2 linked regions of the Oryctolagus cuniculus genome follow. The protein of the gene in region 2 purifies or fractionates together with the protein of the main gene of each other region. This does not show direct contact. Links are inferred from orthologs where the notes say so. Each region holds a gene or a part of one and is shown on either strand. Other genes may lie near its edges. The genes, in order: KPNA4 and NCBP1.

The links.
Region 1: the proteins of NCBP1 (region 2) and KPNA4 purify together in Homo sapiens (co-immunoprecipitation; 3 studies listed by BioGRID and IntAct, with this or other methods). This does not show direct contact. The link is inferred for Oryctolagus cuniculus from reciprocal best matches to the Homo sapiens genes NCBP1 and KPNA4.

What each region holds. Positions count from the first base shown.
Region 1 is NC_091435.1:120,225,695-120,229,516, reverse strand, and holds part of KPNA4 (importin subunit alpha-3), read right to left. Parts: intron 1,081-3,822; coding exon 949-1,080; intron 1-948. UniProt on the Homo sapiens protein: Functions in nuclear protein import as an adapter protein for nuclear receptor KPNB1. Binds specifically and directly to substrates containing either a simple or bipartite NLS motif.
Region 2 is NC_091432.1:201,441,402-201,445,223, reverse strand, and holds part of NCBP1 (nuclear cap-binding protein subunit 1), read right to left. Parts: intron 2,164-3,822; coding exon 2,007-2,163; intron 1-2,006. UniProt on the Homo sapiens protein: Component of the cap-binding complex (CBC), which binds cotranscriptionally to the 5'-cap of pre-mRNAs and is involved in various processes such as pre-mRNA splicing, translation regulation, nonsense-mediated mRNA decay, RNA-mediated gene silencing (RNAi) by microRNAs (miRNAs) and mRNA export.

The sequences.
Region 1 (3,822 bases), on a different chromosome or scaffold from region 2:
TACAGGCATTTGGGGAGTGAAATAGCAGGAAGGAGCTTTTTGTTTCTTTCTCAAATAATTCATGGAAAAAAAAAAAAAAACAATCTCTAGGAGTTGAACAATTAAAAAAAAAAAACTTTCTTTTTAAAGTTTTACAGTTGTTCTCGTTATCCAGCCAAGGCTAAGTGATGACTTAGGTTAAGTTTTTCTTATGCTATTACTATACTTTACAGACTCTAAGTCATTGCCACATAAAACATTCTATTTACCTCAGAAAATTAGAGAACATGCTGCATATCCCTTTACCATTGCAGTTTGACAGTTATTACTTCTATTTGTGTGAACTTCTCATCCTCTCTTTTGACACTACATATAGGTTCTTTCAGATAAATACTGTGTAAGAGGATTTAAGAACAATTGAATAAAATAAAAAAACAAGCTTAAAAAAGTTTAAGATGGTGAAAACAATTTAGGGAGCTAAGTAGCATTTATCTGCACAAAACCTTTTTGCACAAAGTCTTTATAAGTGCCAGTGAAGCTAAGAGCGAACCAAACTTTCCAGATCAGTAAAAAGGGACAGGGCGGAATGGGGGGTGGGGGGAATTGGACTGTGGAAGAGGAAGAAAAATAAGAAAAGGAGTAGGAATTCTAAGTATCAACACCTGTTTGATTGCACTCAAGCTGCTAAACTGAATTGCCTATAATACAAATCTGTATTCTACAAAGGAGTCTCTTCCTAAATATGTATTTTTCAGAGAGGGTGGGGAAAGGTAGGTTCAAGCTGTAGTATCCTTACCTCATTTTTTTCCACCTTTAAAATGGGAATAAAATAATTTACTCTTACCATCACAGACATGCTGTCATGCTAAGAATATCCTTTAAACTATTGAAATTGTTTGGCTCTGAATGTCATGTTTACAGCAATTATTATTAGAAAAACTTAAAATTTTTTATCACGAACAAACTTACCTGAACTTTAACTTCCTGATGGCTGAGCAGAGGAACCAAATGAGGAACTATTCCAGAGTCTATTACCATCTGTATCTGTTCATTGCCAGCATCAGTAAGGTAAGAGAGGGCCCACACTGTATCTACCAAAATCTAATGAGTAAAATGAGAATTCAAAGAGCATTTGAATATTTTCTCATTTTAGTAATTCTTAACCATACAATTAATCTAAGATTGTTCTACCACTTGTTTTCTTCTCTCACATGACGCCTTCAAAGAAACACACCAACACTTCAAAAATACAATGTGAAAATGAAGAGACTGAAGAAATGCTGGAAATGGAATTTAAATTATAGATTATAGGATTACTCAGAAGTAATCAGAAGCAAATCCACGAATTAAAGTAATATATACATGACACAAATAAAAAAATTTTCCCATGAAATTGAGAATTTAAAGAGAAATGAAAATGAAATATTGGAAATGATGAATTCAATAGATCAAATAAAAAATGTGGTGGAAAGCCTTAACAACAGACTCGGTAAGGCAGCAGAAAGAATATCCAAGTTAGAAGACAAATCTCTGGAGATTTTAGACCAAAAAAAAAAAAGAAGAAATAAGAAAATTAAAAAACAGTGTTGGAGATTCATGGAATACTATCAAACCACAAAACATACAGGACACAGGAGTTCCTGAAGGTGAGGAAAGAGAACGGATTACAAGGCCTTTTTAGTGAAATAATTACAGAAAAACTTCCCAAATTTGGAGAAAGGGGCCTCCAAGTACAAGAAGCACATAGAACTCCTAATAGATATGACCAGAAAAGATCCTCACCATGACACATTGTACTCAAACTCTCCACAGTAAAAAAATGAACACGAGAGAAACTCCAGATTACTTTCAGAGGATCTCCAATTATACTCACAGCCGACTTCTCATCAGAAACCCTGCAGGCTAGGAGAGAATGGTGAGATATATTCCAAGTCTAAAGAGAAAAAAAAACTGTCAACCCAGAATACTGTACCCTGGCAAAGCTCTCATTTAGGAATGAAGGTGAAATAAAAGACCTTCTATAACAAACAGAAATTCAAAGAATTTGTCACCACTCATCTAGCCTTACAAGAGATGCTTAAGATGTGCTACACACAGAAACACAGTCATCACTATGAAAGAAAATCTCCCAGCACGAGAACAAAGGAAATAAAAAGTAAGCAATAGGAATATTTATGGAAAACATCAGGGCCAATAGGCACCTTGAATGTAAATGGCCTCAATCTCCAGATAAAAGATACAGACTGGCTGAATAGATTAAAAAATAAAACTCATCTACTTGTTGTCTACAAGAAACATATCTCACCAACAAAGATAAATGCAGGCTGAAAGTGAAAGCATAGACGATATTCTACGTTAACAGAAACCAAAAAAGAGCTCGTATAGCCATCCTGGTATCAGACAAAACAGTTTTTAACACAAAAACTGTCAAAAGAGACAAAGAGGGCACTATGCAATGATTAAGGGTTCAACTCAACAGGAAGATGTGACAATAAATGTATACAAATCTAATTACAGGGCACCTGGCTATTTAAAAGAAATGTTAAGGATCTAAAGGGAGAAAAAAAAAAAACTCCAATACAATAGTAATGGGGGACTTCAATACCCCACTTTAAAAATGGAAAGATCATTCAGACAGAAAATCAGCAAGGAAATAGTTAATCAAAACTATAGACCACGTGGATCTAACAGATATTTTCAGAACTTTTCATCCTACAGTTGCAGAATACACATTCTTCTCACCAGTGCACGGAACTTTCTCTAGGATGGACCACATGATAAGCCATAAAGCAAGTCTTAGCAAATTCAAAATCATACTATGCCATCTTCTCTGACCACAATGGAATGAAGTTGGAAATCAAGAACTTAAGAATCTCTAGATCACATGCAAATTGAAAAACATGCTCCTGAATGAACAGTGGGTCATAGAAAAAAATCCAAAGAGAAATCAAAAAACTGTTGAGTAACAGTTTTTTTTTTAATACTATTTGTTGAACATTTTACTTAGTACAGAGTTAATCTTCTGTGTATAAAGTTAAATGAAAATAGATTTTAGTAAAAAATAAGAATGGGAATAGGAGAGGGAGTAGGAAGAAGGGTGGAAGGGCAGGTACGAAGGGAAGAATATCTATGTTCCTAAAGTTGTATTTATGAAATGCATGAAGTTATATACCTTAAATAAAAGGTTTCTGGGGGAAAAAATCACGATTTAAATCAAACTAGATTTCATATATTCTTTTGTGACAAAGTTTGTATTCTGTAAGTTTACCAATTACAACTAAATGTAATGTTGGTGCTTTAGTTATGGCTTGTAGAAGCAGTTAACTAGTTTTATCTTTAGTTCTTTGATGGCTTGACTTAAGAACACACTGCTAAATGTCTACCCAAGATGACTCTAATAAACATCACTATTTAGTAAATAATATTATTAATTAAATATGTAACTAAAAACAACAATATAGACTGGCTTGAGAAATTCAAGGCACATAAAAAATAAAGATAAATGTAATCAGAATCTCACCTAGATTGAGGTAAAGAAACATAATGCATCTCTGAATAAAGTAAATGAAGATGTCTGGTTTTTTAGTGGTAGTATAACTTTGAGATTAATCTTTTTTTATGAATATTTTAAAAGAAAAATGTTGAAATTTATACTTCAGTCAAGGAACGTGGCTTTCAGGAACCAAAAACAAAAAATGCTTATATAAATATTTAAGATCTATCTGATTCAATCAGACTATCTGGCGCTTAAAAAACATCTTTAGAGCAAAGAGCATGTTTAATAAATTTTGTACATTATATCACTACTTGATGTAGCAAAATTCTGATTTTAATTTGTTCTAC
Region 2 (3,822 bases):
ACTGTCCATGGTAGCTTTAGTGCTACAATGGCAGAGCTGAGTAGCTGTGAGAGAGACCACATGAAGAACAGAAAACCTGAGCTCACAGGTTCCCATGCTACACGACACTAAGAGCTCAGCCTGTAAATATCTTAGTGACATCACCTACAAAGTCCTTTCCCATTTGGCTATAATTTTCCTGAACCATAATAATGGAAAATCTGTTTAATTTATTGGGTGCCCTTTGTGGCCACTGGTAAGCACTTCTAAAGTTCCTGTTACAGGTAAGATCCTGGCAGGCACATTCTCACACAAAGGGATGAGTCCTCTACTGAGAGGCAAATCAAAGTGCTATAAGAACAGTGACAGAGTGAGTAGGGTCAGCATCATAAAGGCAGTAACTAGCTTAGGTCCTAACAGGTACATACCCCTCAAGCAGTGAGCAGAGAGGGCAAACTAGGGAGCAGGTAATTTTGACACAGCGGAGAGTGTAGGAGGTACGAAGAAACAGATCAGGGCAACCACTAAGGGTCCAGCTAGAGTCTGGACCTCAGTCTTATAGCCTGATGAGGGTCCAGACTCTGACAGTATACTTCATAAAAAGAATCTGATCCCTTATCTCCAACACAGGTATATTTACAATATATACTGGATCACTACCAATTTATGTTTTAGACATTAAGGCTTAATTCCATTTATAATAAATGAGTTCTAATATTTACTTTCTGCAACCCAGTCAATCACCTTTTCCCCAGGATTTATGATCACTGAGGACAATGGGAAGGAATTGGGGTTTTAGACACCAACCACCATGAGCTGAACACAAAGAACACTTTGGTGTCACTGCAGAAAGACTGAAAGAAAATTTAGATGTGAAAAAATTAAAGAGATCTTATGAACACGAGGAGGAAGGTGTGAAGTACACTGGTAGCCCTTGAGATAGAGAAGGAACAAATATGAGAGAAATTTAGGAGGCAGAACTGTAGGCTGCAAACAACTCAAAAGACAAAAGGAAGACAAAAGTTAACACTCAGGTTTCTGGGTGGGTCACCAAGTAGACAGTGGCCACTGTGAGTTGAGGAGATAAAAAGGAAATGTGACTGACATTAATTTAAGGATTTCCAGGTAAGGTTATCTTAGAGCTTTGCAGGGAACATTTGAAATACAGGTCTGGTACTTATGAGAAAGTTTGAAACTGGAGAAACACTTTCAGATTTGGGGGCAGCATCAAAACAAAGGTGGTTTATGAAGCTAGCAGAGTGTTTAAAGGAAGATGACCCAGTAAAAGATGAGGAATAGAAGGGAGGTGGCAGCTGGCGCCGCGGGTTCTAGTCCCGGTTGGTGCGCCGGGTTCTGTCCTGGTTGCTGTGGCCCGGGAAGGCAGTGGAGAATGGCCCAGGTGCTTGGGCCCCTGCATCCGCATGGGAGACCAGGAGGAAGCACCTGGTTCCTGGCTTCGGATTGGTGCAGCACGCCGGCTGTAGCAGCCATCTGGGGGGTAAACCAATGGAAGGAAGACCTTTCTCTGTCTCTCTCACTAACTCTGCCTATTAACAAAAAAAAAAAAAAAAAAAAAAAAAAAAGGAGGTGGCAGGTGATACAGGGAAACCAGCTAGGATTCCGAGTGAAAAAAGACCCTGGATTTGGTATTGAGCTCTGTGGTGCCTTTAATGAGAACGGTTTTAAAAGAGCAGTTGTTAGGGTCAATAGGAGACTGACTCTCAAGAGAAAAGACACAGTATTTAGTTAGTGCTTACCTTTTTCCTCCATACCAACACTAAGTCATGATATACAGAAATAAAAAGTTAAGGGTGGTGCTCGCTCCAGCAGCTAAGACACAGGTCAGGATACCAGCATCCACATCAGAATGCCTGGGCTCCTGCCACCCACATGGGAAACCTGGACCGAGTTCCTGGCTCCAGGTTTGGGCCTCCCGCCCCAGCCATCATGGGCATTTGTGAACTGAACCAGCCAATGGGAGCTCCGTTTCTCAAATAAACTTCAAAATTATAGAAATAAAAACTTACCAAATACACAGCTTCATTATAATTGTTTGCTTTCAATGATTCTTTAAGTTGACGAATCATAGCTTCTACAAATTCTCCACCAAAGTTGTAATTCCTGGCATTCAGCAGTCCAACCAACGTTGTATAAATTGTCAACTTCTCAGGTAACAGACGTGCACTGATTTGAGAACCAGTACAACAGGAAACCCCCAAAACAATGGCATTATATTAATTTGCTGAATTTCATATAAATGTTTCATCATTCATTACTTTTGGAATAGGATCACCATTATGTTTGTAAAACTATTCCATAAAAAGCTTATGTGTCCATAAGAAGAGCTGCAGACATGGATTCCCAATTTTTTCACTTTAATTCTAGTTAATTAAAAAGTTAGGAAAGACTGGGGCTGGCGCTGTGGCAGAGGGTTGAAGCTCCGGTCTGCAGCATCGGCATCCCATATGGGCGCAGGTTCATGTCCCCGCTGCTCTGCTTCCGATCCAGCTCTCTACTGTGGCCTGGGAAGGCAGTAGAAGTTGGCCCAAGTGCTTGGGCCCCTGCACCCATATGGGAGACCTGGAGGAAGCTCCTGGTTGGCTTCGGGTCGGCCAATTGGAGAGTTGACCAGCGGATGGAAGACCTCTCTCTCTCTCTTTGCCTCTCTGTAACTATTTCTCAAATATATAAAATCTTTAAAGAAAAATTAGAAAACGGTTTAATTGTGAAGTTATTTCACCACTGAAATAAATACCACAGCTCACGCTAGACCAGTTTTTCTTCAAGTATGTTGAGTAGAATCAAATAGCAGCTCCCCAGACATGACTTCCATGGTAAAATACAAGATTCTGGGTACAACAAGTTTCTTTAATGCAAAATCATTAAGAGGGTGGGGGAGTGGCACATGGCACAGCACTGAGTTTTAAAACTTAACTAACCAAATGTCATGGGACCCATTCCACTTTGAGAAACACTATTCTAGCCACTTATAAAAGATGCAGAATAAAACCAATTTCAACTAATTTCCTATCACTTAAACTGTTGAAATCTTAACTTGGTACTCATTGTTGATTTCATTAAAATTATTTGAAAAGTAGGAGAGAGGATTACAATAATAAACCTTTAGAAGAAGCAACTGTTGCTTCATAATTTAGGCAGCCTTTAGAAATAAGTTCAAACACTAAAGCGACTCCTGAGATAATTCAACGGGGAAGGGATTCTTATAAGTTTATAACCTTACATATTTATAAATCTAGTTAAAGGTTTTCCTAAGGTATCTAGCATTAGGGACAATTTAGGTCTTCAAAAATACTTGGACAGAAATCATACTCCCTATAAACCTCCCCAAACCTCAAATTAAAAAATAGTGCCAAGCAATACTGGTACAGCCTTAAACAAACATAGCCTCTGACAAGAGTTTAAGTATAAACACTATTCCATGCTACTAAGTGCTTTTAAAAGAGAAGGAGTTTTTTGGATAACCACAGCAAAATGATTTTTATTAGTTTTTTAAAGATATGTGTTCCTGAATATTAACTGTATTCCTCTTGAAAATTCTAAAGCAAATTAACTGTACTTTTAATAATGTGACGTTAAAATGAAACCCACTAATTGTATGTGCATTTTTTAAACTTCAAAAATTAACTGCATTAAAAAAATAACTTGGAGCCGGTACTGTGGCATGGTGGGTTTAGGGTGCCTGCAATGTGAGCATCCCATATGGTAGTGCAGTTTGAGTCCCTACTGCTCCTCTTCCAATCCATCTCCCTACAAATGCTCCTGGGAAGGCAACTGAAGACAAACCAAGTAACTGGGCCCCTGCCAGCCACATGAGCGGCTAGG